4 linked regions of the Stegostoma tigrinum genome follow. The main gene of each other region encodes a partner of the protein of the gene in region 2 in a complex. Links are inferred from orthologs where the notes say so. Each region holds a gene or a part of one and is shown on either strand. Other genes may lie near its edges. The genes, in order: morf4l1, histone acetyltransferase KAT5, enhancer of polycomb homolog 1-like and mbtd1.

Evidence for each region.
Region 1: histone acetyltransferase KAT5 (region 2) and morf4l1 share a complex: the UniProt entries of both Homo sapiens proteins name them as parts of the nuA4 histone acetyltransferase complex. The link is inferred for Stegostoma tigrinum from reciprocal best matches to the Homo sapiens genes KAT5 and MORF4L1.
Region 3: histone acetyltransferase KAT5 (region 2) and enhancer of polycomb homolog 1-like share a complex: the UniProt entries of both Homo sapiens proteins name them as parts of the nuA4 histone acetyltransferase complex. The link is inferred for Stegostoma tigrinum from reciprocal best matches to the Homo sapiens genes KAT5 and EPC1.
Region 4: histone acetyltransferase KAT5 (region 2) and mbtd1 share a complex: the UniProt entries of both Homo sapiens proteins name them as parts of the nuA4 histone acetyltransferase complex. The link is inferred for Stegostoma tigrinum from reciprocal best matches to the Homo sapiens genes KAT5 and MBTD1.

What each region holds. Positions count from the first base shown.
Region 1 is NC_081386.1:32,983,519-32,990,688, reverse strand, and holds the start of morf4l1 (mortality factor 4-like protein 1), read left to right. Parts: upstream 1-4,033; 5' UTR 4,034-4,176; coding exon 4,177-4,216; intron 4,217-7,170. UniProt on the Homo sapiens protein: Component of the NuA4 histone acetyltransferase (HAT) complex which is involved in transcriptional activation of select genes principally by acetylation of nucleosomal histones H4 and H2A.
Region 2 is NC_081395.1:3,923,086-3,930,551, forward strand, and holds the start of histone acetyltransferase KAT5, read left to right. Parts: upstream 1-4,317; 5' UTR 4,318-4,533; coding exon 4,534-4,600; intron 4,601-7,466. UniProt on the Homo sapiens protein: Catalytic subunit of the NuA4 histone acetyltransferase complex, a multiprotein complex involved in transcriptional activation of select genes principally by acetylation of nucleosomal histones H2A and H4.
Region 3 is NC_081355.1:128,371,783-128,380,088, reverse strand, and holds the start of enhancer of polycomb homolog 1-like, read left to right. Parts: upstream 1-5,090; 5' UTR 5,091-5,164; coding exon 5,165-5,317; intron 5,318-8,306. UniProt on the Homo sapiens protein: Component of the NuA4 histone acetyltransferase (HAT) complex, a multiprotein complex involved in transcriptional activation of select genes principally by acetylation of nucleosomal histones H4 and H2A.
Region 4 is NC_081375.1:6,126,026-6,133,997, forward strand, and holds the start of mbtd1 (MBT domain-containing protein 1), read right to left. Parts: upstream 3,072-7,972; 5' UTR 2,986-3,071; coding exon of another isoform or gene 2,689-2,985; exon of another isoform or gene 2,503-2,688; intron 1,410-2,502; 5' UTR 1,105-1,409; coding exon 1,080-1,104; intron 1-1,079. Other genes in the region: C-Jun-amino-terminal kinase-interacting protein 4, read left to right, coding at 2,689-2,985. UniProt on the Homo sapiens protein: Chromatin reader component of the NuA4 histone acetyltransferase complex, a multiprotein complex involved in transcriptional activation of select genes principally by acetylation of nucleosomal histones H4 and H2A.

The sequences.
Region 1 (7,170 bases), on a different chromosome or scaffold from region 2:
CTGTTGGCCTGGCAGGCAGGATGTTTGTGGACGCCATTTAATGCAATATAAATATTATAATAGAAATTAAAATTCTCCTCATTATTTACTGGTATATAACTTGAGTATTCTTGATAAAAGACACACTTTGTTAATCATAGGATCCCTACAGTGTGGAAACAGGCCCTTAAGCCCAACAAGTCAACACTGACCCTGACAGCATCCCACCCTCCTAATCTACATACCCCTGAACATCACAGACAATTTAGCATGGCCAATCCACCTAGGCTGCACATATTTGGACAGTGGGAGGCAACCAGAGTACCTGGAGGAAACCCATGCAGACACAGGAAGAATGCGCAAACCCCACACAGACAGTCACCCATGGCAGGAAATGAACCCAGGTCCTGTTAGGCAGCAGTGCTAACCACTGAGCCACCATTTACAAATGTTAAGGATAACATAGGTTGGAGCTGGAGCAGGAAAGCTAACATTTCAGGTTGGGACCCTTCTTCAGAAATGGGGAGGGGGAAGGGAGGTCTGTTTTTTTTGCCTTGCAGTGACAAGATTGTCAGTTGGCCTTACAGTGTGGCAGATCTCTGCATTAAGAAGGTTACATCTATTAATACACCTTTTCTTTGCAGACAGGAAAACACAAAGGGCACTTGTTTCAATGCAACAAAACAGATGACTGTTACTCTCAGATGCAATCTTCAAGGCACTATCTTGACTAATCAGATTCAACATACCAGTTTTAAATTCATACAAAGCTCAACACTGATTGTCAGTCATCATTGAACTTGTGCATTCTCGATGGTAACACTTCAATCAATTGGCATCCACTTGCTAGCCAATCAGCATGCTTTATCTGACATAGTATAGAATTGTTGTTCACCTGCATGTTGACAGTCTTATAAATATGCTGATGAGTGAATGATGAAAAGCTTCAATGCAATGTGTTTTTTTTAACCAATACTTAAAATATTCTGGTTGGAAGCTACACTCAGAGTTGTTCTCAGCTCAGATTTCACACATGATTGAGCATCTGTTTCTAGCCTGACACTGCATTATAAACTTGAAGAAGTGCTGCATTTTTAAAGATGCTGTCTTTCTTGTAAGATATTAAAGAAGGGTAATTCAAGCGGACGTAACACCTCCAGTCACACAATTTTGAATCAGCTTCATTGGCTAGAAGTATTTTTCCCGTCTGTTAATTCAATATGTTCATGTGTTATGTTCATTTTTCAAGATTGAGCCAGGACTGCCTGCAGATTATTTCCCTGCCTATGGCATTAAAGCAAACTCCAACACTTCCTTCACGGGATGTGCACAAAGCTACACTTTCCCAGCAGGAGGTCACTATTATCAGCCAGGAAATGTAACTCCTGGCTGATGTTCATTTCATCTATTATCTTAAGATCAGATATGGAAAAGCACCTTAGAGCATAATAGAGTAAGAGAGATTTCATGGAAATGTTCAAAGTCATGAAGAATTTGACAGGAGTGAATAAAGTAGTACATTTGGATGATTGTTTGCAATTCAAATATGAACAGAATGGGTTCAATTCCTGCACAGCTGAGATTAACATGAAAATCCTGCCTTCTCAACCTCGCTCCTTGCCTGTGGTGTGGTGACCCTCAGATTAAACCACCACCATTCAACTCTAATAAGACAATAACCCTACAGTCCTCTACAATTGTAGCCATTTTTCCTTTGCTTTTACTTTTCCTTTGGGAGAAGTATCAGGAACCAGAGAACAGCAGCAGTAAGGTGATTGACTAGATGACAATAAGCAACATTTTGTGTTACACAGTTGCAATTTGAAATGCATTGAAATGAAAGGCTTGTGGGATAAGATTTTTATTTATTCTTTCATGGGATGTGTGAATCACTGGGTGGCTGGCATTTATTGTCCATTACTAATTGCTCGCGAGATGATGGTAGTGTGCTGCCTTCTTGACATGCTTAAGTCCATGTCATAGATCCAAAAGAGAATCGGAGAAATAGATCAAAGTATTTACAGGGCTATGTTTAAAGATGAAACAAGTGATATTATTTGGGAATAGTTTCTCCAGGGAGCTAATGTACACACAATGGGCTAAATGGCCTCCAGGTTTGCAGCATCTGCAGTCATGATGCTGTAATCTGACTTAATCACTGAAAACCTGAATTTTGAAACCTCTAAACTTGACTATTCCAATGCACATTTTGCAGGTCTTCAACACTGTAATTTGTAAACTTAAGGACATGTAACACACTGCTTCAGATCCTCACCTGCAGTTCATCCCATTCCCTGTAATTTACATTGTCCCCTCATCAAGAAATGTCTTGGTTTTAAAACTTTCATCCCTGTTTATAAAACCTTCCCATTGCCCTTCCAACACTTCAAAATACTTGAATTCCTCTGAAACTGCCATCTTACACATTTCCAATTATAATTACCACTGCTTAAGTGCATTCAATTGCTTAGGCCCCAAGAATTGTAAACCTCTCCTGTCACCTCTCTGTCTTGCTTGTCTCCTTTGAGGCACTCATGTTTACCCTCTTAACTGCACTGACCTACTATCTCCTTATGCAACTTGGTGTCACTTTGTGTTTTGCATAGTCTCTGCAAAGCATCTGGGATGTTTCATTACATGAAAAAGCTTTATAAAGTCATGAGGGACATAGATAGGGTGATAGCCAGGGTCTTTTTTCCAGGGTAAGAAGTCAAAACTAGCGGGTAAGGGCTTAAGGTGAGACAGGAAAGATTTAAAAGGGACCTAAGGGATAACTTTTACATGCAGAGGGTGGAAGCTGGTACAATTGCAACTTTTAAAAGGCATCCAGATGGGTACATGAATAGGAAGGGTTTAGAGGGATATGGGCCAAATGGTACTGGATTTTAGGATATCCAGATTTTGGTTTCGTGCTGTACTACTCTCTGACAGTGTTCATGTTCTGAACTCCACTGAACTCAGCATTGAGTCCTGAAATCTGTAAAACGTCTCAACAGAAAATAAGATGTTGCTCCTGCAACTTGCTTCTCTGGGACACTGCAGCAGGCCTAGGATAGAAATGTGCACAAGAGAGCAAGAACGTAAATTGAAATGGCAAGCAACTTGCAGATCAAGGGTCATTCCTACACATAGTGTAAGGTACACCACAAAACAATCACCCAGTTTGCGTTTAGTTTTTCTGATGTGAAGGAAACTGTATTGTGAATAGAGGAGATTGAAAAATGTATCGCTAAATCTTTGCATCTCCAGGATGATGAGTTTGGGATCTGGGGGACTGAGATGATGAAAAGGTAAATGTTACACCTTCTGGTATTGCATAGCCATGTGTGTGGTGTATAGTGAAGAGGCTTCTCTTGTTCACTTGGTCCATCTGAGTCTCCTCTTCCTTGGCATTTTCATTTCTATTTCAGGGGTAGATTGACCACCAATATCCATCACACCCACAGTTACTTGACTAACCTCCTCATGCCCTGCTTCTTCTAAAGAGTCTATTCCATTCTTAGATTCTGCAACTCTGTCACTCTGTTCCAACTTCTGGGGGTGCAGGCTCTGAAGTGCCTTCCTTTTTCCTCAACAGAGGAATTCCACACCCCACAATTTAGTTGACAAGGCCGCAAGCTGTGTTGAACCCAATGTCCCACACTTCTACTCTCACCCAGAACAGTGACAGAGTACAGAAACATACAGAGCAGTAATTGCTGGAGAAACTTGATTGCTGTTTTTCTGTTTTGTTTTGTCCTGGTGAACTTGCTGTCAGAAATGCAGAAGCACCCTTCAACTCAACTCCCTCGACTCAAAACTTTGACTCTTTTTCTCTTTTCACAGATGCTGTCAAACCTGCTGAGTTAACCCAGTATAATAAAACAAAGAGCTGTGAGGTCTGAAGGTCGGAAATACAAACAAGAACACCAATTCACGTCTTAAACTTCCTCTAGCACGCTCCCTGTATGCCAATTTCAAACTACAACTCCCAGAGCCCCACCGGACAGCCGCGCGTGCGCAATGAGAGCACCTTGGCCGGGGCGTGACGTGTTTCGACGACGGGTCACGTCGCCCCGATGACGACCCGCCCCCCTCCAACCCGGTACGTCGTGTTGCTCGGCGCCCGTGCGAGAGCAGACCGGGCCGCGATTATGGTGCGGGGACAGAGGGGCAGCACAGGCGCTCGGATTTAGCACGGAGAGACGGTTTGACTTGATGGCTCCGAAACCGGACCCTAGACCCAAATTTCAGGAAGGTGAGCCCCCCGCGGGGATACGGCGATTGGGAGGAGGCGGAGGGGAAAAATGGCGCCGGGGCCCGGCTCCTTCCCTTCCCCCACCCACTCCTCAGTGCGCATGCTTGGAGGGCAGCCTCCCTTGGTACGAGGGGCTTTGCAGGCGCCTCAATGGAGATTTTGCAGCTGGTTAGACTGCTAGATGTAAGCACATTGTACTCGTTCCTTACCCTTTGTACACTTATTTGTGCAGAGTATAATCGCGCAGAATGTTTCCTCCGCCAATTTGCATGTATGTGTGTTGTTTCCCCGTAATCCTCTTCCTCTCCTTATTCCCACCTACACCACCGCACCCCCCCAACGTTTTCAGCGAAAGTCAGATTTGTGCCATTTTTGTCTTTGGTTTCAATGGAGCAAGTTTACATTTGTGCTGACAACTTTGCAACGACTTGCTCTATGTGCAGAATGCAACGAACCATTTATTGCAATGCACTTTCCAAGGGGTTGTCAAAGGAATTGCTTCATTGGCCGTGCCCTTTTCCACATCCGTGAGGAGGAGGTATGTAAGTTAGTCTGGCTAAACGTGCTTAACGTTGCTTTATTTGCTGAAACCGTCTATTTCTTCTTGTGGCAAAAGAGACTTTGCACCTTTCTATCTTTGCTTCGACCATGGTTTCTCCCTGGAAGGAAATCTGGAATTCGAGGACTTCTACGTATTTAGTGAAACTGTCCTACCTTACTCGTGACCTGATTAAAATATAAGCAAGAAGACATAAAATTATACTCTTGTGTTGTATGACTGCCAGATGGGAAGTGGTTGTAAGGCAATATACAAGTCTGGATTGTGTTTCTACTTTACACCACTTGTGTCTGCATTGGCAAATACAGACATAAGATTGAAAAAAAGGTAAACTTTGGAATTACGTAGCAAGCTCATTAGCAGCTGCAAAGATAGCTTCATATTTTGGGTGTAGACTCTTTGTCAGAACTGTTCTGACACGGAGTCTCCATCTGAAACAGCCTGTATTTCTTTTTTTTCAGGTGCTGGTGAATTTGCTGTCTAGGTAAAACAGAATATGCTGGAATCATTCAGCATCTGTGGAGAGAGGTAGGTAGGGCTGATGCATCAGGTTCATCTTTTTTAATCACATCTTAACATTATTTGGTTTTAGCTGTTTACAACTAAATGTGTAGTAGTTTGGATTGTACGCGAGTCAAGTACATAAAGGCAGAGGGAAAACTGAAGTATAATAGAACTACCACTCCAGAAGGGTAACATTGTGATTGGTTTATGAGAAGTTGTTAGAACTGCATGCATAGGAATTTTTATTGAGGGAAGGAGTTGCCGTGAAGAAAAATGGGACAAGAAAATGAGAGGTTGAAATGGGCCAGTTATATTGATGTAGATTCCTCACTGGCTTAACAGCCATTGCTTTGCTTTTGAAGTGTGGTTACTATTGTCATTGGCTACCATGTTTTCCTAAATGAGTGCGGGACCAGAAGTTGGCAGAGCATGTTGACAAAGTGGTTTTAAACATAATTGGGATGCTGGACATTGTAAAAATGAATATGTAGTGTATAAAAACAAGTTATGATTATTTTTTATGCAATACTGATTTAGTTTCAGTTTGTCTGTTATTTGGCTCAGTGTCAAACTCTGCAAAGGATGGGATGGCATTAATGAGGGTGTAGAAATAATTCATGTGGATGGTTCCAAGGATGAAAGATTTCACCTGTATTGATAGTGTGGAAGATAGGACTATTCTTGTAGAATAAAAAATTAGGTGGAGATTTGATAGAGGTGCTCAAAATCGAGTTGTTTTTTCTTTATTCATTCATGGGATGAGGGTGTCACTGGCTAGGCAGCATTTATTGCCCAAAGGGTGGTTGAGACTCAGCCACATTGCTGTGGGTCTGGAGTCACATGTAGACCAGATCCGGTAAGGATGGCAGTTTCCTTCCCTAAAGGACATTAGTAAAAATTTTCCAACAATCGACAATGGATTCATGGTCCCCATTAGACTCTTAATTTCAGATTTTTAAAAAATTGAATTCAAATTCCACCATCTGTCATGGCGGGATTGGAGCATGTACCCAGAACATTATCTGGGTCTCGCAGTTAACTGTCCAGTGATAATACCATTAGGCCATTACCTCCCCATTTCAGGAGAGAGAAACTGTTCACATTGGCAGAAAAAAATCAGAGGGCACCAATATAAGGTGAGTAGCAAAAAGAATCTAAGATGACATAAATATATCTCTTTCATGTGTGCTAAGGAATTGGAATGAACTACCTGAGAGAGTGTAAAGATTGGATTCAGTTTTAATTCTCAAAGGGAGTTGTAATGGACAAGAAGACAAGAAAGACAAAAACTACTTCAATGAACAGAACTTGTCGGTCTCAGTGGTGCAGAAGGATTTGGGGGTTTGAATGGTAGATGAATTGCAGAAGGGTGTGCTAGTATAGCAGATGAAGCCATATGTGGAGTACTCTGCCTGATTTTGAGAAAACATATACTTGCTTCAGAAGTGGTTCAGAAAAGGTTCACTTGACTCATTCCTGGGGTGAAAGGCTTATTTTATAAAGAAAGGTTGAACAGATTATGCTTTTATTAATTAGAGTTTAGAAGAATGAGGTGATCTTATTGAAATACATATGAGTGGACTGCATAGATTGGATAGCAAGAGGATATCCCCTCTTGTTGCGGAGACTAAAACTAGGGGACTCGTTTTAACAGTAAGATGTCTGCGTTTTAAGACAGCAATGGGGAGAAAGAGAAAAAAAAACTGACTTTTGTTAGTCTGTGAAATTCTCTTTCTCAGAAGGTGTCAGAGGGCTGATTCTTTAAATTGATTTAATGCTGAGTTAGATTTTTCAATAGACAAGTGAATTAAAGGCTTTTGGGAGCAAGCAGGTAGGTGGACCTGAGACCACAGCCAGATTTTATTGAATGGTGGGAATCTTTTTAGAAGTT
Region 2 (7,466 bases):
AGGGGTTTTTCTGGCATTGTGTTTCTGTGCTTTGCCGTTTGTACACTGCACAAGAGAGAGAGTTTCATGCTGAGTCGCTGGACTTCACCCTGGACCAGGATCGCAAAATGGGCACAGGAACAATCTTGGCCTCCAGGCTAGCTGTCAATCGAGGGGACCCTGATGAGCAGAAGGGCGTGAGGCTTACTGGGTTTTTTTCCCTCTCTTTTTCATTTACTTACTTTCACTTTTTTATTTACTTAATAAACGCACCTTTCTTTTCTTCTCACTCAGTAAATGTTTACATTTAAGAGAATTGCCATTGTCGAGCCTTCTCTTCAATACCTTTAACCGAATCAGACAAAAAACTGCACCTGAATGCACTCTGTGATCTAAGACATTATTCAACATCTCCCCTCATTCCCCTTGACCCCCCATCCTGTGGGAGTGACTCCCATATTCTACCCACTATCTGGGGGCCACATGATGGTTCTCCCGAATTCTCCGCTGAGTTTATTCGGGACTGACTGACATTGATGGGCCCTGGTTCTCTGCTCTCTCCTCTGCTGCCCCAGCGACCCCACCCCCCCCCACCCCAACTCCCACCCCTCCAACCCCCAAACAATAGGAAAACCTCTTTTCACAATCAGACTGTATCAAAACCTCCTTCTTCATTTTGAAGACTCGGTCAGAGACCTCACCTGCCTCCGCATTCTCTTTTCCAGAGAGCTGGGCTATTACATAAGGCTTTAGGAAGGGCTTTGACAAGGTCCCTCATGGCAGGCTAGTCATGGAGATTAGGTCGCATGGGATCCAGCGAGAGCTACCAAACTGGATTCAAATTTGGTTCGATGGTAGGAAGCAAAGGGCAACGGTTGAAGGTTGTTTCTCGAATTTGGGGCCTGTGACTAGTGGTGTGCCACAGGGGTTGGTGCTGGGACCACTGTTATTTACGTATATCATCTGGATGTGAATGTACAAGGCATGGTTAGTGAGCTTGTGGATGATACAAAATTAGGCGGTATCGCCGATAGTGAGGAAGGTTACCAAAAATTAGACAGGGATCTTGATCAGGTGGAGAAGTGGGCCGAGGATTGGCACATGCAGTTCAATACAGGTAAGTGTGAGGTGTTGCATTTTGGAAAGTCAAACCAAGTTAGGACTTGTACAGTAAACAATAAGGTTATGAGGAGCATTGTAGAACAGAGGGATCCAGGAGTACGAGTACATAGTTGATTGAAAGCGGCGTCACAGATAGACAGGGTGATGAAGAAGGCATTTTGCATGCCGGCTTTGGTCTGTCAAGGCACTGAGTATCGGAGTTTGGATGTTATGTTACAGTTGTGTAAGTTGTTGGTGAGGCCACACTTGCTCTATTATTGTGTATAGGTTTGGTCACCCTGTTATAGGAAAGATATCGTTAAACTGGAAGGTGTGCAAAGAAGATTTGTGAGGATGTTGCCAGGACTAGTAGGCCTGAGTTATAGGGAGAGGTTGGCCAGGATAGGACTTCAATCCTTGGAACATAAGAGAATGAGGGGTAACCTTATTAGGGAGTGTAAAATCACAAGGGGCATAGATAAGATGAATGCATATAGCCTTTTTCCCAGGGATGGGGAATTGATAACTAGAAGGCACAGGTTTAAGAAGGATCTGAGGGGCAACTTCTTCACACAGAGGGTGGTGTGTAAATGGAATGGGCTGCCAGGGAAAGTGGGTGAGGCAGGAACAACAGCAACATTTTAAAACCCTTTGGATAGGTACATGGATGGGAAGGGGACATGGACCAAATGCAGGCAATTGGAACTAGCTCAGCAGGCACCACGGTCAGTATGGACCAGTTTGGGCCTGTTTCCATGCTGTATTACTCTATGACTCTATGACATAAGAAATTGGTGCAAGAGCGAGCCATCTGGCCCATTGAGCCCGCTCCACCATTCAATAAGATCATGGCTGATCTCCCACTTACCCACTGTCTCACCATAACTCTCCTGTTAATTCTGTTATCCTGTTATTCCCTATCCTGTTCAAAAATCACTACCTTAAAAACATTCAACAGGATAGCCTCAACTGCATTGCTGGGTGGGGAGTTCCACAGATTCACAAACCTTTGGGTGAAGAGGATAATAATAGTCAGACATTACTGAAGAAAGGAAAAGCACTGTAGGATCAGCTCATCCAGGTTGGTGATTTCAGAGTGGGGATACAGAACTGTTTTTATTCTCAATCCGTTCAATACTTGTGTGAGTGAAGGGGAATTTTAAAAGGGCTGATAATAGTCAGCATGGTGATAATGGTAAGGGTGATAATTCAGGAAGTTGTTCAGAATGAAACTAATGTTAATAACAAAGGTGATAATTAAGATTATTAACAAAGATAATGTTAATAACAATGGTATTAATTGAGGAGGTTATGAACATCATAGTAGTGTTAATAATGATGAGGGTGATCATTTCTTTCTATTTTTCATGGGATGAGGATGTCACTGGCTGGGCCAGCATTTATTACCCAGAGGCCGGTTATGAATCAACAACATCGCTGTGGGTCTGGAGTCACATGTAGGCCAGGCCAGGTAAGGGTGGCAGTTTCCTTCCCTAAAGGGCATGAGTGAACCAGATGGGGTTTTCCCAACAATCAACAATGGATTCATGGTCATCATTAGACTCTTAATTCCAGATTTTTATCGAATCCTAATTCCAATATTTGCCGTGGCAGGATACAAACCTGGTCCCCAAATAGTTACATACATCTCTGGGTTAAACAGTCCAGCATTAGTCAGCTCCCCTCAAATAGAGGGGATTCTTAATAATGATACTAATAATGTTATTAATAATGACAAGGGTGTTAATTGAAGTTATTAGTGATAATAATGGTGAGGGTGTTAATTGAGGTTATTAGTGATCATAATGGTGAGGGTATTAATTGAGGTTATTAGTGATCATAATGGTGAGGATGTTAATTGAGATTATCAATGATAATAATGGTGAGGGTGATAATTGAGCTTATCAGTGATAATAATTGTGAGGGTGTTAATTGAGGTTATTAGTGATAATAACACTGAGGGTGTTAATTGAGGTTATTAGTGATAATAATTGTGAGGGCATTAATTGAGGTTATTAGTGATAATAATAGTAAGGGTGTTAATTGAGGTTATTAGTGATAATAATTGTGAGGGTGTTAATTGAGATTATCAATGATAATAACAGTGAGGGTGTTAATTGAGGTTATCAGTGATAATAATTGTGAGGGTGTTAATTAAGCTTATCAATGATAATAACAGTGAGGGTGTTAATTGAGATTATCAATGGTGAGGGTGTTAATTGAGGTTATTAGTGATAATAAGTGAGGGTGTTAATTGAGGTTATTAATGATAATAATAGAGGGTGGTAATTGGTGGTTATTGATGATAATGGTGTGGGTGATAATTGGGAAGAATTTAATAATAATAACCGTCAGGTTGACAATTGTGATGGTTATTAATTTCTAATAACGGTCAGGGTGATAATTGAGGTGGTCGTTAATGATAATAACAGTGAGAGTCATAATTGATGTGGTTATTAATGATAATAACAGTGAGAGTGTGAATAGAAAAGGTTATTAATGATAATAATGGTGAGTATGATAATTGAGAAGGTTATTATTGATAATAACAGTAAGAGTGATAATTGAGGTGATTTTTAAAATTATACTAATGTTGAGATTGATAATTCAGGTAGTTATTAATGATAATAACGGTGAGGGTGATAATTCAGAAGCCTGCTAATGAGAATAATGATAATAATGTCAATAATAATGGTGATAATTTACGAATTTATTAATAAAGTTGAGAATAATGGTGAGGATAAGTGAGGCAGTTATTAAAGATAATAGGGAGGGTGATAATTGAGGTAGTTATTAATTATTATAATGTTGATGGTAGAAGTCAAGAATGTTATTAATGATAGTAATATTAATGATAGTAATGGTGAGGGTCATTGAGGTGGTCTTAATAATGGTGATAATTGAGCAGTTTTTATAAAGAAAGTTAATAATAATAGTGAGGATGATAATTGAGGAAGTTATTAAGAATGACAATAAGGTTAATAATTTCGAAGTTGACAATTGAGTTTTTGGTGTTTTGGTGCTGGAAACAGGCACTAAGATAGCCACCTATACACCCTATCTGGTGAAATGGGTGCTAAATGTTGGTGAGTTTAAATGATCAGATTAACCCCCCTACCCCTCTGGCGGGTGAGAGCATCTTCTCCTGGGGGCTGGGATCTCTGGGCACACTCTTTATTGAATTATTTCGCCGTGTTTTTGCGGGGGGATGGCAGGCGGTGCGGCGGCCTCCTCGGCGACGTGAAGGACCCCGAGGGGACAAGATGGCGGCTGCGGCGGAGCGGAGTCGGTGAAAAAACACTTTTATCGAAAGAAATAAACAAACTCCACCGCCGTCCCGTGGCTAAGAGACATCGGGGAGCGGGAAAGACCGAGCGTGATCAACGTCCGCACCGGCATTTTCCACCCGAGTCTCACCCTCTGTCTCAGTCACACTCACCGCCCGGACTAACAATGGAGGTGATCGAAGGATGCCGCCTTCCCGTCCTCCGGAGGAACCAGGAGAATGAGGACGAGTGGCGTGAGTAGCCGACATGGCGGACGGGCGGGCGCGGTGTACCATCCCTCGGACGGGGCTGTTTGCATTTCGTCCTCCATGCCGTGTGGGGGCGCTCCCACTGGAGGACCCTGTGTGCAGTACCTCCTCCAGGCCACGTGGGGCGCGCTCCCACTGAAGGACCCTGTGTGCAGTACCTCCTCCAGGCCACGTGGGGCGCTTCCACTGGAGGACCCTGTGTGCAGTACCTCCTCCAGGCCACGTGGGGCGCGCTCCCACTGATGGACGCTGTGTGCAGTACCTCCTCCAGGTCACGTGGGTAGCGCTCCCACTGAAGGACCCTGTGTGCAATACCTCCTCCAGGCCACGTGGGTAGCGCTCCCACTGAAGGACCCTGTGTGCAATACCTCCTCCAGGCCACGTGGGGCGCGCTCCCACTGGAGGACCTTGTGTGCAGTACCTCCTCCAGGTCACGTGGGTAGCGCTCCCACTGGAGAACCCTGTGTGCAGTACCTCTTCCAGGCCATGAGGGGCGTGCACTCCGGTGGAAGTCTGTGAGTGGAGTACCTCCTCCAGGTTATGGGGGTGCTCCCAATGGAAATCCCTGAGAGCTGTATCTCCTCAGCATCATGGGGCAGATGGGGTGTATGCTCCCTCTGGAAATCCCTAAGTGTGTACTACCTGCTCCACACGATAGGGACAGGGGTGGTGGTTGCACTCTCATTGGAAATCTCTGAGTGCAGTACCTCCTCCACACCATAGGGAGCACTCCCACTGCAACTCCAAAGGAGTAATATCACCACCTGGCCATGGCGGGTGGTTCCCACTGGAAATCCCTGAATGCAGTACCTCCTTAAAGTTTTGGAGGGTGCCCCCGCTGCAGATCTCGAGAAGCAATCTCTCCGTTTAGCCACGGTGGTGGTTCCCATTGGAACTCCCCACATGCACTGCCTCATCCTGGCCACAGGGCAAGGGATGCAGTGCCACTGAATCGCCCTGAGTCTAGTACCTGCATCAGGCCGTGGAGGAGGGGTGTGATACCACTGGATCCTGTGGCATTAGTACCTCCTACAGGCCAAAGGGGTGGTCCCATTGGACCTCTGAGTGCAGTCCCTCTTCTGGCTGTATTGGGTGGGGTTAGGGGTGAGGGGAAGTCGGTTGCTCCCCTTGTGGAGTGCAGTCCCACAGCAATTCATATAAGGAGCAATACCTCCTCGTGGCCATGGGGGGGTTGCTCCCATTGTAACTCTCTGAGTGTGGTACCTCCTCCAGGATGTGGTATGGGGCGGGGGGGGTGGAAATTGCCATTTGGATCTTGCAAAGTGCAGCTCCTTCTGCAGGACTCAGAGCACAGGCTGTTATTGGAAACTCTGAGTGTGATATCTGCTCCAGGACACGGTGGAGTTTGGTGGGCACCCATTGGATCTTGTGAAGTGCAGTGCCTTCTCCAGGCCATGAGTGACGCTCCCAGTGGATCTTCTTTCTGGTCATAAGGAGTGGTCCCACTGAATCTCCCTGGGCACAGTAAATCCTCCTGGTCTTGAGGAGTGCCCTCAATGGAACAGATATAGTGCAGTAACCCGTCCCATCCACAAGGGCACACCCAGTGGAACTACGGTGGTAAGGTACCTCCTCCTCTCCAGAGAGTGTGATCCCGCTGGATCCACCAGAGTACAGTATCTCCTCCTGGCAGGACACACAGTCCCACATCTCCCAGAGTGTGATACCTCTTGCCACTTGCGGGGGCTCTCCAACTGGTTCTGCTGGATAGTTCCTCATCCCAACACTAGATGCACTAAGATAATAAAATGTGAGGCTGGATGAACACAGCAGGCCAAGCAGCATCTCAGGAGCACAAAAGCTGACGTTTCGGGCCTAGACCCTTCATCAGAGAGGGGGATGGGGGGAGGGAACTGGAATAAATAGGGAGAGAGGGGGAGGCGGACCGAAGATGGAGAATAAAGAAGATAGGTGGAGAGGGTGTAGGTGGGGAGGTAGGGAGGCGACAGGTCAGTCCAGGGAAGACCACCTCCTTGACCTGTCCGTCTTCCCTGGACTGACCTATCCTCTCCCTACCTCCCCACCTACACCCTCTCCACCTATCTTCTTTACTCTCCATCTTCGGTCCGCCTCCCCCTCTCTCCCTATTTATTCCAGTTCCCTCCCCCCATCCCCCTCTCTGATGAAGGGTCTAGGCCCGAAACGTCAGTTTTTGTGCTCCTGAGATGCTGCTTGGCCTGCTGTGTTCATCCAGCCTCACATTTTATTATCTTGGAATCTCCAGCATCTGCAGTTCCCATTATCTCTGATACTAGATGCACTAATCCCAGTTTCCTGCCCTCGTCCCAGATCCTTGAATGTATCTATATTTATAGTGCACATCCAAATGTTTTTAAAGGTTGTAATGTTTCCGGTCTCTAATACCTCCCAGGAAGTGCATTCGAGATTCCCAGCACCCCCTGAGTGAAAAGGTTTTCCTCAAATCCCCTCAGAATCTCCTGCCTCTTACCGTAAAACTATGACATCTCGAGATAGACCCTGCAACGAAAGGTAGCAGCTGCTCTCTACTCGCCCTGTTCATACATAGTTGTGTACATCTCATTCTTGTCACCCCCTCAGTCTTCTCTGCTCTAGAGAAAACAATCCAAACCTACCCAGTCTCTCCTCACCGCTCAGTTTCTCCACCCCAGGCTATATGCTGGTGAACCTCCTCTACCCCCTCTAGTGCTATCACGTCCTTCCTGTAGTGAGGTGACCAGGACTGCACACAGTACTCCAGCTGTGGCCTAACCAACACCCTGTACAACTTCAACATTACCTCCCTGCTCTTGTACTCTATGCCACGACTGATGAAAGCAAGTGTTCCATCGGCCTTCTTACCTGTCCTGTT
Region 3 (8,306 bases), on a different chromosome or scaffold from region 2:
AGTATCTGACGCAGAACTGAACACTGCAATCATCAATGATCCTACCCACTTATTAACCTCATGGTAGGAAAGCCGTTGATGCAGCTGAAGATGGTCGTGTCTACAGATCTCTCTCCCACTGAAACTCTCTCATAATCTCTTCTGCCCTGAGGAGATCTTGATTGTATGGAGAGACTGCAAGTTGATGGAAATAAATTCTGAAATCTTCTGTAGGTATACAAATATTAATAGTGAAAGGGTGGTTGGTAGAACCAGGATGGGACCAATCAGAGCCCAAAAAGGGGATTTATGCCTGGAAATTTAATGTCAGTCTTTACCAAAAGAAGAAATACTGTCCAGGTCGTGGTGAAAGGAGATAATTCAAATACTTAGTTTGAAATCGATGAACAGGAGGCAGTGGAGTCAGTCTTTTTATTTACAGTTGGTTAGGCTTCAGGACTGAATAAGAGAGATCCAAGGACACCAGAGATGGTGAGAATAGAAATTGGAGGCATTGACTATAATTTTACGATCTTTCTTTGACTCAGGTGATTATCAGAGAACTGGAGAATTGCAACATTTCTTTTAAATGTAAAGATGAGTTTAGCAACGATATGCGAGTCCTATAACAACGCTGATGGCAAAGCTTCTGAAACAATAATTCAAGACAAAAGTCTCTTGGGAAATCTGGATTAATTAAAAAATTCCAGCATAGTTTGTTAAAGGATAGCTTTGCTTAACTAATACTTACGTTTGTCTTTTGAAGAGTTAATTGAGCTGGTCAATGAGGATAATGCTGTTGATGTGGCACAAGTGGGTGTGCAGTCATTTAACACAGTGCCACACAACAAATTTTTATGAACAAAGTTTCAGCACTTGGAATAAAAGGGACAAAAATACATGGTTCTGAAAATGGCTGAGTGATGGGAGATAGTGTTCAGTGGATGTTTTTCTGACTGCAGGAAGATTTATGGCAGAATTCTCAAGGTGTGTGTATCAGACCATAAAGATATAGGAGGACAATTCAGCCATATGGTCCATTTGGGTTGCCTTTGCCATTTTATCGTAGCTGATATGTTTCTCAATTCCATTCTCCTCCCTCTCCCCTCAATCTACTTACTAATCAAAAATCTCTCTATCTCTGTCTTAAATGCACACAGTGACTTGGCCCCTGCCACTGAAAGCTGTTATGAATTCCACAGATTTATCATCCTTTGGCTGAGAAACTCCTCCTCATTACATTCTAAAGGGTTGTCTTGTCTATGATGCTATGCCCTTGGGCCCTAGTAGAGGGGGATGGGTCTGGTTGGGATGCTGAACAGGGGATTGGTGTGTGGCGATTTTGTGATTCTAGAAACACCCTCTCTACGACCATTCTATCTAGGTCTCTTAATATTCTTTTCAGTTTCATTGACATCTCCTCTCCCCCCCCCCCACCTCCGCCACAGCCTACTAAACCCCCAGAGTACAGACCTAGAGTCCTCAACTGTTCCTCTTGAGATTAGCCCTCCATTCCCCAGGATCATGCTTGTGAACCTCCTTTGGACCCTCTCCAAGGCCAGCAAATCCTTCCTTAAGACACAGAGCCCATAACTGCCCTCAATATTCCAAATGTGGTTGAGCCTTAGCAGTTTATTCCTGTTTGCTTTGTTTTCAAGCCCTCTTGAAATAAATAAATGCTAACTTTGCATTTGGCTTCCTAACTGCCACCTGAACTTGCGTGTTAAAATTAAGAGAAATAGTTTATGCCTCTTCTTCTTACCAAAGTACAAGACCTCACACTTTCTCACATTATATTTCATCTACCACTTCTTTGTCCACTGCTAGCTTATCCAAGTCCTTCTGCAGCCTTCCTGCTTCCTCAATGTGGCCTAACCCTACACCTATCTTTATTGCTAAGCTTGCAGATGACATAATGCCCTCCATTCCTTCATTCTGATCATTAATGTTGTTTGGAAGTATTATGAACATTGAAGAGAATAAAATTGAACTTCAAAAGTACAAAAATAGGTTGTTGCAATGGCCAGAAAGTTGGCAGATGAAATTTAATGCAGTGAAGTCAAGTCTAATTCATTTTGGCAGGAAGAGCATAGAGACAGAACAAAATAAAGGATACAGTTCCAAATTACCTATAGGACCTAAGAGATATGCACAAGTCATTGAAGGTGGCACGACCGTTTTGAGAACTCTTAATAAACAACAGTATCCTAGGCTTTATTTACAGGACCATGGAGCACAAAAGTAAAACTATGTTAAACTTCTATAACACATTGGTTTGGCCTCAACTGGAGTATTGTGACCAATTCTTTAAGAATGATGTGAAGATGTTGGTATAGCTACAAAAAACATTTGCAAAATGGTTCCAAGCATGAGGAACTAAAGTTTATTGCAGACAGTTGTATGGCTTTTCTTGAATGTTAAGAGGTAGATGGATAGAGATTTTCAAATACGGAGACTGGACACAACTGATGAAGGGAACACTTGCCATTGTGTAACAAAAGAGAGGGCACAGCTTTCTGGTAACTAGAAATGTACATTGGTGATGAAAGGATTTTGTTTCTGTATTGAGTGATTTAATATCTGGAAAATGCTGACTGAGATTGTGGTGGAGACAGAGATTGAGACAAACTTCAATTAAGGCTTTAAAGAGTGATTTGGATTATATTCCAAAAAGAAAATGTGAGATTACAGGGAAATGGCTGAGTTTCTCATTAAGAAATCAGACACTGGCACAACAGGCTGAATGCTCTCTTTCTGCACAGTAACAGTTGTGATTCTGTAGTGATGTGCTGGGACTGAGATGGTTGATTTCCAGAACTACAATCATCTTCCTTTCTGCAAATGTAACTCCAATTATTGGATAGTTTTGTCCCTGATTCCTGTTGACTGACTGCAGTTTTTTGTTAAGGCCCTGGTGTCATGTTGGTCAAGTCCTGCCTGCATATAAAGGCCAGTCACACTCATCTCTCATCTGAAATTCAGCTCTTGTTCTGTGTTTGACAAAGACTAACTAAATCTGGAATTCAATTCCTGGCAGGGCCCAAATTCTTATTGGCGAGTAGATTATTGGAACATAAGTGCTGCTAGATAGTGCTATTGATGATCCCTTCCATCAATTTGTCGCTGACTGTAAACTGCTGGTGCATTAAACAATGTAATCCGTCAAGTGATTCAATCATTTGAATGTCAGTAAAACGCTGTTTTCTATATTTATATATAAAGCACATTGGCAGCATAAGCTCATTGCAAAAATAGTACAACCTATTGAGAGTTACTAGATAACAAACTGCAAAATAAGATTAGCTTGTAAATGAAAAATTGGAACAAATGGAAATTAAATATTCAGTATACTTGTGTATCAATTCAATCTGATAAAACTCTATTGACGTTCATTACTGATTTCCAGAACAGACGTGGGAAATTTCATTAGTTGTATGTAGGTTAAATTAAAACTGAAGATTCAGCTGTCTGCATGTCTGATGTACCACACTTTGAAGTTTATAATTTTTCACCAGCAAATCACAATTTATTGATGTCTTTTAATGACTTTAAATATAAAAGTTTGATTTGGTGTTGTAACAAAAATGTAGTTAAATTCTGTACTTCACAACATGAGTTAATGTTTGGTTTTTTTGTTTTGGAAACGTTGAATTGGTGTGGAATCATTACAACCAAACTAGGTGCAGGCCCTTCAGCCCCTTGAACCTGCTTTACCATTCAATCTACAATCTATCCACTAACCTTTCACCCCTTTTGCTTAACAAGAATCTACCTACCTCTGCCTTTAAATGTCATAAACAATAGTAAATCACCGAGTGGCATTTAGATTTTTGTTGAAACGTCAATTTGCCTAATTGTGCATGGTGACATACTGTTTCAGAATAATAATTAAGTTTAAAAATGGTCAAACTTCGTGCTCGGATGAATTCAAAAACCGAAATCCCGTTTTATGGGCATTGAATTGTTTGATTTGATTCACGGTGTCATATACATTGCCAGATTTGCCTTGAACATCTTTTTGATTCGACAAGTAGCCTTACTGTCTCTGTGCAGTACAAACAATCAAGACTAGCAGGAAGCTTTGCAATTGTTTACGCCGAATTGCGCAATACCCTGTGACAGATTACAACCTGCCCATTGAGTTTTGAACTGTAGTTATTATTATGAGACATGTGACATTCCCCTTTTCCCAGCAGACCATTTAAAAAAAACCAAACGCTGGCACTTCGTGTTGTAGAGGGCGCCGTTTCCAACAGCTTCTTGTAAAGTTGTTGTGACTGAGGGTATCCATGTTGTGGCGTAGTTGAATTAGGAAGCGAACAGAAACGATGGAAAAAAAACTTGGAAGGGAAACGAAAAGACAATAGTCAATCGTTGTGATAACGACTTGTGCATTTCTTTCAAAAAGAGGAGCCAAGAAACGCAGGCTCGGACTGAAAGCGAAGTTTTGTTTTCCGTGGAGCCGAAAACACAAATATTAACCGGGTGGGAGCGGGGGAGGAGAATTCGAAAACATTTTCAAAAGGGTGGGAGGAGAATGGGAGATGAGGTTTTATACAGCATATCCTGCAAAAGGGAGGGGGTGGGCTGCTTGACTCGCTGCTAGGCGGGGGGGGAGAAAAACAACCCGGTAGAAATCCAAGGCAGCCGTTAGTGCCGGGTGCCCAGCGGAGCAGCAACATTCTCCTCCCGCACTAACCGACCGCCGGCCGGTTGAAGTGGGGGGGGGGGGTTGTGGGCCGTTGCGCGCGCAGCTCGGCCGAGCCTCGTCCCTGTTGCTGTGCATTGTGGGATGGCTGGACTTTAATGACCGCCATGTTGGCCATGGCGTATTGAAGTCGACAAAAGGAACCTAAACGGACCGGGGGAAAAACCGCCTTTCTTCCGTTTCCAACCCCCGTTTTTTCTTCACGGAATGGAACTAGGATCTCCAATCTTTCATCCATGATAGGTTTCGGGAGGCTCCGTGTAGGTTTTACTGGGTGTAGGCGTCAACATTTCATCGGCGACTAAAAAAAACGCATTTTATATATATATATATTTATATTTTCCTTCCAACTACAACCTCCCTCCCTCCCTCTCTCCTTCCCCTCCCCTCTTTCTCTCTCTCTCTCTCCCGCGGTGGTGTTTGGGTTTCTAATCCGCCGCGAACACGCACATACAAACCGAGGGAGAGCCGAGAATAATGAGCAAACTGTCGTTTCGGGCAAGGGCGCTCGATGCATCGAAACCTCTGCCCGTGTATCGGTGCGAGGATTTGCCGGATCTGCACGAATATGCCTCCATCAACCGAGCGGTGCCCCAGATGCCCACGGGGATGGAGAAGGAGGAGGAATCGGTAGGTGCACACGGGGCGGGTTTGGTTGTTTTTTTAAAAAACATGCCCGTCTTTTTTTGACGAAAGGAGTTTTAAAAATCATTTTATTCGGACGTGTTTTGTGGCCTCGGGGGAGGGGGGGTGTTAGTGGTGGGCTGGTAGTTGGTGGCGGGAGGTGTTGCCTGTGTGCGCAGGTTGCGCGGCCGCCATTACACGGCTCTCGCTCGCTTCCTCCCAAACATGGGGCCGGGCCGCGGAAACGGAGAGACGGGCCCCGGAACCACCCACACTTTATTCCTCCGCTCGGGAGGGAGGCCGCCCTCCTTGTTTCTTTTTGTTATTTTGAAACAATCGAAGGTCCTATCCCGTTGATTTTTCACCCCGCTGAGCGGGTGGGCGAGAAGGATATTGTTCCTTGTCTACGAAAGATATTATTTTTACCCCCTCGGTGTACAAAAGATCACGTGACTGGCGAGGCAGCCATTTTGTTGTGTTTCTCTCTGGGTTGGGCACGATCTCGGCAACAACCAACTCCAGTAGGAGGGTGGCGCTAGAGAGCCTGAATTTTTTTTGCCTGGGGTGTTGGGAGTTGTGGATTATTGTATTGTAGACAAATTTGTATTTCACTCAGTTCTAGCTCCCGTATATATGGGCGTTGTTTTTATTTGCTCTCTTGTTTTATATGTTCCGTGTGTAAGTTGACTTGCAAAATGGTGCTTCACAACATCTCGCTGAACAGAGATCATTGTGAAAGTATCACTGTTTTTAATCTCAGCACGTGCGCCAGTTGTGACCTGTTGTGCAGTTCCCGAGTATGGACAGCGGGAAGACTCCTCCTTTATAATGCAGATTACTACTACAGCTAAGTTTGTGCAGAGACCGTGAGACTTATAGTTGTTTTTCCGACTGTTTTATTCCACATCCGTCGTATCCACAGTTAGTTTCATGGGTGACATGCAAAATTAGTTTATTGTGAAGCAATAATGTGAAGTGTAACTTATAAGAATTCTAGCGGTTGAATGTCATCGTGTTTTTGAGGCTTTTGGAAAATCTCCCACATCGTGATCTGTAAAGCAAGATGTTACACAGATAGTTGCAGTTGTGAGGCTGTCAAGGTGAAAAATAGTCATAGTTTCAGATTCAGTACCATAGTTATGGTTTGTATTATGAAGTATACTGAACTTGTCAGGCAAGGAGCTGGATTAAAGTCAGGATGGCTTATTATGTGAATAGGATTCTGTTAAAGTCAGAAATATGATATTGCTGGAACTTGGCATTAATCTAATCTAAATAGAGGAGCAGTGAATTCTTTAATTACTGTCACCTAACCTTGCTGATTTGATAGCAATGTACCATTAGCCAAATCTGTTATTACCAAATAAATGTTCTTGCATGAAATTCTGAAGTTGCTGTTAACATCAGTGCATAGTTAATTGGGGGCTCAAAATATTTTCAACACCTGGGAAATACAATATTGCACTTCCCACAGTTTGAATGAGCTTACTGACACAATTAAACAAAATGCATTCAAGCTATTACTTAAGATGACAGTCTACTGGATGTACATCAGTAACTAAAATATGGGGTTGCAGACAGAATACCTCAAAGGAATTCATTTCAACTCATTGGCAAACTACAGTACTGGTCTTCATTTGTGGATATCTGGTTCTACTTCCTTGTGTTTGTAGTCTGTAACAGAAAAAAAGGTTTTTTTTTCCCCTGATGAAGTGTCTAGGCCCGAAACGTCAGCTTTTGTGCTCCTGGGATACTGCTTGGCCTGCTGTGTTCATCCAGCTCCACACTTTGTTATCTCAGATTCTGCAGCGTCTGCAGTTCCTATTATCTATGTATCTTAAGGTTAGGATTTTAGTTTTCCAAAAAGATTCTTATGCCTATTTGTGCTTGGCTTTGTGAATCAGATGCTCAAAATAAGTAAACGGAATTAATTTACATTGCACTGGTGTTTTCTGTTCCAGCAGTTGAAAACCTTTGCTATGCACTACTTTTCAAATGTGGGGAAACTCGAGCAACAATGTCATACAAGGTGCAACAATAACACTGCTGTTCCAGTGATTTTTGATTTGGGCAATAAATATTTGTAAGCAAGGGCAAATGCTTCTTTTATTTTAGATCTTTTGATATGCACTTGTTGTACCACTCTTTGACGAAGTTGATACGCTTGAGTGAAATTCCACATGAGAATTTTTATTGTGATTTATTACCTGTCAGTGCGATATTAAACACCAACCCTGTTTTAGGTGGATGTGCCACATTTTTCACATGAAACCTAAAATCAGACTTCCACGTGAATTCTGGGCTGAATGTAAAGAATTCTTTGACGTAAGTGTTGCAGGATGGGGTGGGAAGATCTCTCTCCCTGCATTGTGGCAAATGTTTAACCCTCAACTAATATCCCCAAATAGCTTAATTGGCTTTCTGGAGTCCAGAATCCTTGAGGCACATGTAAGGTTATTATACTGAAGAGGGCAGATAGTTCTGCACCAGTGTCAGCAGAGCTTCTCCACTCTCATTTTTGCAGTGACAGTTTGTGGTACCAGTTATAGAGTCAGAGATGTGGGATGGGATGAATAGCCAAGGTTTTTTTTTGCCAGGGTAGAGAAACTCAAAACTAGAGGGCATAGTTATAAAGGTATAAAAGAGACCTAAGGCTCATCTTTTTCATCCAGAGGGTGCTCTGTGTGTGTGTGTGTCCATTGGAGCTGGGGCTATCACTTTGAAATATGGTTCTCATGTTTGTCTAATTAGGTATAAATAATGTGATCAGAGCTTTTGTGCTCCTGAGATGCTGCTTGGCCTGCTGTGTTCATCCAGCTTCACATGTCGTTATCTATAAATAATGTGGTTCCTTATTTTTAATGTTCTGTAGTGAGTAGACTTTGCTTCAATTTTCAATGTTAGTGGCCTGAAATGAGGCATGAGTTGAAAAAGTGTTAACATTAATTTTTTCATTGCTTGTCAAATTATTTTTGAATGTCCGATAAATCCATAA
Region 4 (7,972 bases), on a different chromosome or scaffold from region 2:
TACAACAGATTCTAACATTTTTTCAAGGTCAGATATAAAGGTAACTGGCAGACAGCTTTTTTTGGTCTTCTTCCCATTTTTAATAAAAGGTGCTACATTAAAAGTTTTCTAATTCTCTGGGACTTGCCCAGAATCGAAGGATTCCTGGAAGATGGTTACAAGTGCATCTACTATCTCTATACATGCATCCTTTAATTTCCACAACGTATCCTATCGTGTCAAGGAACTTATTATTCTTTAGCCCCATTAATTACCTTAGCCATTTGATAACTTTGTACTTTTGTAATGTTGTTATTGTCTTGTATTGTGAGTGCTGATGCAAAGTACTTCTCAACTTTGTCTTTTCCCGGTTCCCCGTTGTTATTTCACCAGCTTTAGTCTTTAATGGGCCTGTGTTCCCTTCTGCTTCTCTCTTTATTTTTATTTACTTAAAGAAGTTTTGATATTACTTGCAAGTTAACCCTCCAAGTTTATGTTTTTTCTCTATTATCTTCGGTTGACTTTTGTTGATTTTCTAAAACATTCCCAATCCTCTAGATTACCACCAATCTTTGCCATGTTATACATTTTTCTCCTTTTAATTTGATATAATCCCGAACTTCTTTTTCTTTACGTACCATGGGTACCTCTGTCAAATCTCTCCTTTGCTCCAAGGAGAACAAGTTCTGTTTCTCCAAACTCATTTTGCAGCTAAACTCTCTCTCTCTGACTGAACCATTCTGGTAAATCTCCTGTGCGCCCTTTCAAGGATTGTCAAGTCCTTCCTGAAGCATGATGGCCAGAACTTATTGCCTAACCAGGCAAAAATAAATATTCACCATAATATCAGTGATTTTAAACTCAATATCACAATCTTTGAAGGCATGATGTTTTAAAATCTACTCTCTCAATACGTCCTTTCAAGTCAAAGATATATACATATGAATCTCCAAGTTTCCATGTCCATTTGCAGTGTTTAGAATTATGTAATGTAATTTACATTGATTTAACATTAAAACATATGTTCAACCCACATATCTGTACACACAGGAAATGTGAAATAAAAAACAGAAAATACTTGAAATACTCAGTGAGCCTACCAGCATATGGGTGATGAACTTTCATTATAACCACTTCCAGTATTTTATGCTAAAACACCACTCGCTTTTACTTGACATAGTTCCATAGGATCTCTTCCGTTAACCAGAGGCCTCATTTTTATGTCCTTCAAAGCATGGCATTTCCGATGGCGCAAAATTGGAATATCTGTTTTGGCTTTTGTATTCAAGTCCTCGAAGAAGCTTTCAAGCCATAACTGTCATTCAGAGAAAAGAACGCTGCCATCTAAGCTATAAGCAAAAGAAATATGGACAGCAGTTTTTGAGGAACAAAAACAGAAGTTGCTGGAAGCTCAGCAGGTCTAGCAGCTCCTGCAAAGAAAAAAAAATCAAAGTTAACGTTTCACTCCAGTGACACTTCTACAAGACAGACCTGCTGAGCTTCCAGCAACTTCTGTTTTTGTATCAGAGATAATGGGAACTGCAGATGCTGGAGAATCCAAGATAATAAAGTGTGAAACTGAATAAACACAGCAGGCCAAGCAGCATCTAAGGAGCACAAAAGCTGACGTTGCGGGCCTAGACCCTTCATCAGAGAGGGGGATGGGGGGAGGGAACTGGAATAAATAGGGAGAGGGGGGAGGTGGACCGAAGATGAAGAGAAAAGAAGATAGGTGGAGAGGAGAGTATAGGTGGGGAGGGGATAGGTCTGACCAGGGAACACGGACAGGTCAAGGAGGTGGGATGAGGTTAGTAGGCAGGAAATGGAGTTCCTGATTTAAAGTATCTGCAGTTCTTGTTTTTGTGTGATTTTGGAGGAGCTCATGTTTATGAAAGCATCATTTTTGACTTGTTAATAGCTCCATTGTACTGTATTACATGATTGGTAGAAGATAAACTAGACAAAAGCATGTTTTTTCACTAGCAATTCTGACGTTCGTAACAATTTTATTCAAGGAGATATCTTGTCTGTGACCCTGAAACCTTGCGTCCAAAGTATTTAAAAAAAATAAAAGACCTAACCATTCATAGATGTCAACTATCATCACAAAATCCCTGTAATGGGACAAAGTGCTGCATGGAGGAAGACAGAGTTACCCGTTTTCGCCCGAGAGCAGAGATAACAAAGCGTAGAGCTGGGTGAACACAGCAGGCCAAGCAGTGTCAGAGGAGCAGGAAAGCTGACATTTCGGGCCTCAGGGTCTAGACCCAAAACATCAGCCTTCCTACTCCCCTGATGCCGCTGCGCCTGCTGAGCTCACCCAGCAGCATCCGCAGCTCCCACTATCTATAGCCCGGCAAGAGCATGTGACGGGATCACATGACTTGTGGAAGCTCGCGACGTTCCGTGCCTGATCGGGGCGGCCCGGCGTGCGGGGGCGCGCAGCCTGGACGGGGCGGGACCGCGCCCCTCGAACGGGAACGCGCACAGTGGGGGCTGGGCAGCGCGCTGAGGGGGCGGGGTTGGAGCCAGTGGCCTCGAGCCGAGCGGCGTCGTCAACAGGGAGGGAGCGGGAGACGGCTGAGCGGCGGAGAGAAGAAAGCAGCAGGAGCTGAAGAGAAATATAGGTGGTTATTCCCTTAACTTCCTCCGGCGTAAATCATTGATTTGTCTATATGTTTTCCCCAGCATATTGATAATTTAAAGAAAATGGAAATGGATGATGGGGTGGTTTACCAGGATGACTCCAACACTAATGTTATGTCGGAGCGGGTGTCAGGCCTGGCGGCTAGTATTTACCGGGAGTTCGAGAGGATGATCCGCAAGTACGACGAAGATGTGGTGAAGGACCTGATGCCGCTGGTGGTCGGTGTGCTGGAGAACCTGGACGCGATGTTCGCCGAGAACCAGGAGCACGAGGTGGAGCTGGAGCTATTGCGGGAGGATAACGAGCAGCTCATCACCCAGTATGAGCGGGAGAAAGCCCTGCGGAAGCACGCCGAGGAGGTGAGTGAGTGTCCCGGGCCAGGGTGAGGGCGCCACCGCTTTTCATTCTCCATCGGGATGGCTCCCGCTGAGATCTCTCACCCGAACCTCCGCTTCCCCCAGTCCTCATTGGACCAATGCTTCAGACTAATGCCCACCTCCTCTACCGCCTGCACCCTGATTGGTCGGTGGCCCTGTCACTCAGCACGCTAGCAGGTTTGATTGCATACGATGACAACCCAACGGGCCCTAGTTTTCAAAACAAGCCCAACTTGTGTGTGTTATATATTTTTTAAATAAAGTGTGGGTATTTATTGATGACTGTTGTGTCGACGCTTCGGTAATATATTTCCCTTGCAGTATCTTCTGGCGTGTGTTGGCACAGTGTTCCCCTGTACGTCATCTGCATGAATAAGCGCAACATTGATGTGGGTTGAAGACAAAAATCTTAGTGAATTCTTCCTTAATGGACCAGAATAACCAAGAAAATTTAAAGTAACCTTTATAACACTGTTTACCAGAAACCGGTTAAGATCTTAACATGCGAACTCTGCTTTTTGTAAAAATCTGAGTTAAGATGTTAGGAACCTAATGGCCTGCATGTTGTTTTGTTCCAGAGAAAAAAGATATTGGGACTTTTTCCTAAAAGGGTTATGTTTTCTGAAAAAGTCATTGCTCGCTTCTTTGAGTATAAGAGTTGGGAAATCATGTTGAGGTTGTACAGGACATTGGTCAGGCCTCTTCTGGAGCAGTGTGTCCAGTTCTGGTCGCCCAGTTATAGGAAGGATATTATCAAGCGGAGACGGTCAGAAGAGATTTGCCAGGTGTTGCTGGGTGTGGAAGTTGGGTTGTAAAGAAAGGCAGGATAGGCTGGGACATCCTTCACTGGAATGTAGAAGGTTGACTGGCAATCTGACTGAAGTAATGAGAGGTATAGATAGAGTTAATGGTAGTTGTTTTTCCCCTAGGATGGGCATTTTCAAGGAGGAGGTGGGCTTTAGTCTGAAGCATTGGTCCAATGAGGACTGGGGGAAGCGGAGGTTCGGTTGAGAGATCTCAGCGGGAGCCATCCCGATGGAGAATGAAAAGCGGCGGCGCCTTCACCCTGGCCCGGGGGCACATTTTTAAGTTGAGAGGAGAGAGATTGAAAAAAATGAGGTAGATGTTTTTAGACAAAGGGTGGCTCCTGTGTGGAATGAACCTCCTGAGGAAGTGGCGGATGTGGGTACAATCACAACATTTAAAAGACATTTGGATAAGTACGTGAGTAGGAAAGGTGTGGAGGGATATGGGCCAGGAGCAGGCAGGTGGGCCTTGTTTAGTTTGGGGTTATGTTCGCCTGGACTGGTTGGAGCGAAGGATCTGTTTCTGTGCTGTACGTCTCTATATGTGGAAACAAAACGAGCAAGGTGCACATGTTCTTCTATGTACTGCATTCTGTGAGGAATAAATCATCTTGGAGTTGCCATTGAGAAAACTTTGCAGAATTTGAGAGTGTAGCATTTTCCTCTGTGAATAGAATTATGTAATTTAAACCATGTTGACAATTGGTGTAGATTCACAGCCATTTGTGTTTGTTGGATTTTCATGGAGTATCTGCCAAGTATTTGTAGTTTAAAACATCAGATTGATAATATTCAAATCTTCCAGTGATGTGTGGTTAGCTTACCATACTGAGTGAGCCAGGTATAGTGGATGAAGAGATAATGGGAACTGCAGATGCTGGAGAATCCAAGATAACAAGGTGTGAAGCTGGATGAACACAGCAGGCCAAGCAGCATCTCAGGAGCACAAAAGCTGACGTTTTGAGCCTAGACCTTTCATCAGAGAGAAAGAGTGTCAGAAGAGGGTGTGATGAAGGGTCTAGGCCCGAAACGTCAGCTTTTGTGCTCCTAAGATGCTGCTTGGCGTGTGTGTTCATCCAGTTCCACACTTTGTCACAGTGGATGAAGACTTGGGTTTCATTATGACACCAAATCGCATGTTGGCCTGCCTTGCTACTGAACTGGCAATTGCGTTGGTTTTGACCATCTTCTTTAGTTCCATCCGCTCATCTCTCATGTTACCATTCTCTGTCACTCACCCAGTAACGTAAACACAGGATTATTTACATGCCAAACAGTGAGTTATCCCATAATGAACAAATCTGATCTAAGCTTTGCAGTCTGACCACATCCAATGATGAATAACAAAACAACTCACTATAAGGTGAGACAATGGCCTAATGGTGTTATTGCTGAACTGTTAATCCAGAGACCCAGCTAACATCCTGGGGACCTAGGTTCAAATCCTGCCGTGGCAGATTGTGGAATTTGAATTCAATTTAAAAAATTGGAATTAATAGCGCGGTAATAACCATGAAATCATTGTGAATTATCGAGAAAACCCTTTTGATTTAGTAATGTACTTTAGGGAAGGAAGCTCCCTACATGTGACTCCAGCTCTACAGCAATGTGGTTGACTCTCAACCTCAATTAGTGATGGGCAATAAATGCAGGCCTAGCCAGCAATGCCCTCTTCCCGTCAATGAATACCAAAAAAAGGAGAAGCTCTGAATGACTTCATCTTTAATAATGGAGGAGTCCAGCACGTCAGCACAAATGAAAAGACTGAAGCATTTGCACCCTGTTCAGTCAGAAGATCCACCTCTACCTTCTCCTGATGTCCCCAACATTGCTGATGCTGGTCTTCAACCAATTTGATAGACTTTACGATATCAAGAAATAGCTGATGATGCTGGATTCTGGAAAGGCTGTGGACTGTGTTAACATTCTCAAAAAGTACTGAAGATGAGCTCCAGAACTAACCACGTCATTAGGCAAGCTTGTTCGGCACATTTAGAACAGTGACAAATACATGTCAATGTGGAAAATTGTACAACCATATCGTGTCCACAAAAAGCAAGACAAATCAACCAGGCCATTTATCAATCCATCAGTTTATTTTGTATCAACAGAATAATGGAAGGTGTTATCGACAGTGCTATTGAGTCAGGCGTGTAATGAAATACTGTCCACTTGGTAGGATGGGTGAAACTCCGAAAAACACTCAGGAAGGTTAACACCATTCAGGACAAAGCAGTTTTTTGATTGGCATGTCAATTCTCACACCTTCTACATTCACTCTGTATTCACCACTGCAGAGAAACTGCAGCAGTGTGTACCATCTTCCAGATGCACTGCAGTAACTTGCCAAGGCTCCTTGGATAACACCTTCAAATCTCCAAACCAGAATGACGGTGGCAGCAGGTATGCGGGAACACCATCATTTGCAAGATCCCCTCCATGCCACACATCATCCAGACTTCAAAATACATTGTTGTTTCTTCACTGTAACAGGGTTAAAATCTGGGAATTCACCCTGTAACAACACAGTGGGTGTTCCAAATAAGTATTTCACAAAGACAACTCACTACCACTTTCTTGAGGGCAGTTAGGAGTTGGTAATAAATCTTGGCTTATCCAACATGTCCTGCAAATGAGTTTTTTATAAGTCCAAAAATAATATTTGCACTACAGCAGTGACCAAATTTACAGTTACTGAACACATACAGTGCATCCTATATATCATCTCAAACTGTAATTCTGATGTACAGATGTATTGAATTTTGAATTCCTTGCTATAGAAGGCTGCACAACTGTTTGCTCGATTGCACCCTCGGATGAAATGTGGAGAAATGGAGTAGAATGGGACCTGTGCTCACCATAGTTAAGAAGAATGAGAGGTGATCTTGTTGAGTCCAAAATTTTCTTGAATTTATGTTTAATTCTTAATTCTAGGGGTTTGTCTAAGAAGAAGACTGGGTAGCTGCGAGGAGGTTCTGTAATTGAGGAGTCTGGAGATTTTGAATTACATAAGCGAAAGGCTATCAGAACTGACCCATGGCCTTTAACAACACAATTTCTCTCAGATATGAAAACAGAAAATACTGGAAATAATTAGCATACCAAGTGGTGTCTTCTCTTTTTCCCGGGTCTCCCTTGTTTCAACAACTAGTTTAGGTTGTTCAGGTATCTTGGCTGTGCTTTCAGTTGGAGATAGTAAGAACTACGGATGCTGGAGTCAGGGATAATAGAAAAAGGGTCCTGATCCAAAACGTCAACTTGCCTGCTCCTCTGATGCTGCCTGGCATGCTGTTTTCCTCCAGCTCCACACTGTGTTATCTGTGTTTTGAGTTGAATGTGCAACACGTCCTGGAATTCCCTCCCCAAATCATCCATTACTATGCTGTCTGCCCATCTTAAATTCTGACTGTTTTCACACTAGCTTTTGGTTACTGTACTTAATAGAACAGAGAACATAGATGTTGCGTCGACCTGTGAACTAATCTAAGCCCCTCCCCCTACACTGTCCCATCATCATCATCCATATGCTTATCCAAGGATGATAATATTTTGCCTTTGTTCGGTTTTTGAACTGCCTTTGGATGTTGTTCTATGCTCTGCCTTGTATAAATATGATCATATAAATAAGAATTGCCTACTCAGTCCCTTGAGCATTTTCAGCAATTGATGAAGATCTTGGCTGATCTGATGACTCCACGTGGCATCAAACTGTAGGATGACTTTTCCGCCTCATGCTTGGCAATAATCTATTGACATCTGCCTTAAAGGCATTCAAAGACTTTTTATTGCCACCCTTTGAGGAAAAGAATTCCAAAAACTCTTCAACCTCTCTTTCTTTTCATCCCTTTGCTCAATAGTTTACTGCTTATTTTTAAACAGTAACGCCTAGTACGAAGCTCTAGTATGAGAGTAAATAAACTTGCCACATCCATTCTGTCAGGACCCCTCGCAGGGTCTTGTATATTTCAAACAACTTGTCTCTTCTCAGCTTCAATGGATCAAAGCTTAGCCTGTCCAACCTTTCCTCATAAAACAACGTGCTGATTCCAGTGGTAAGACAGTGCGGAGCTGGAGGAACACAGCAGCCAGGCAGCATCAGAGGAGCAGAAAAGCTGACGTTACGAGTCAGGACCCTTCTCTGAAGAAAGGTCTTGACCCAAAAC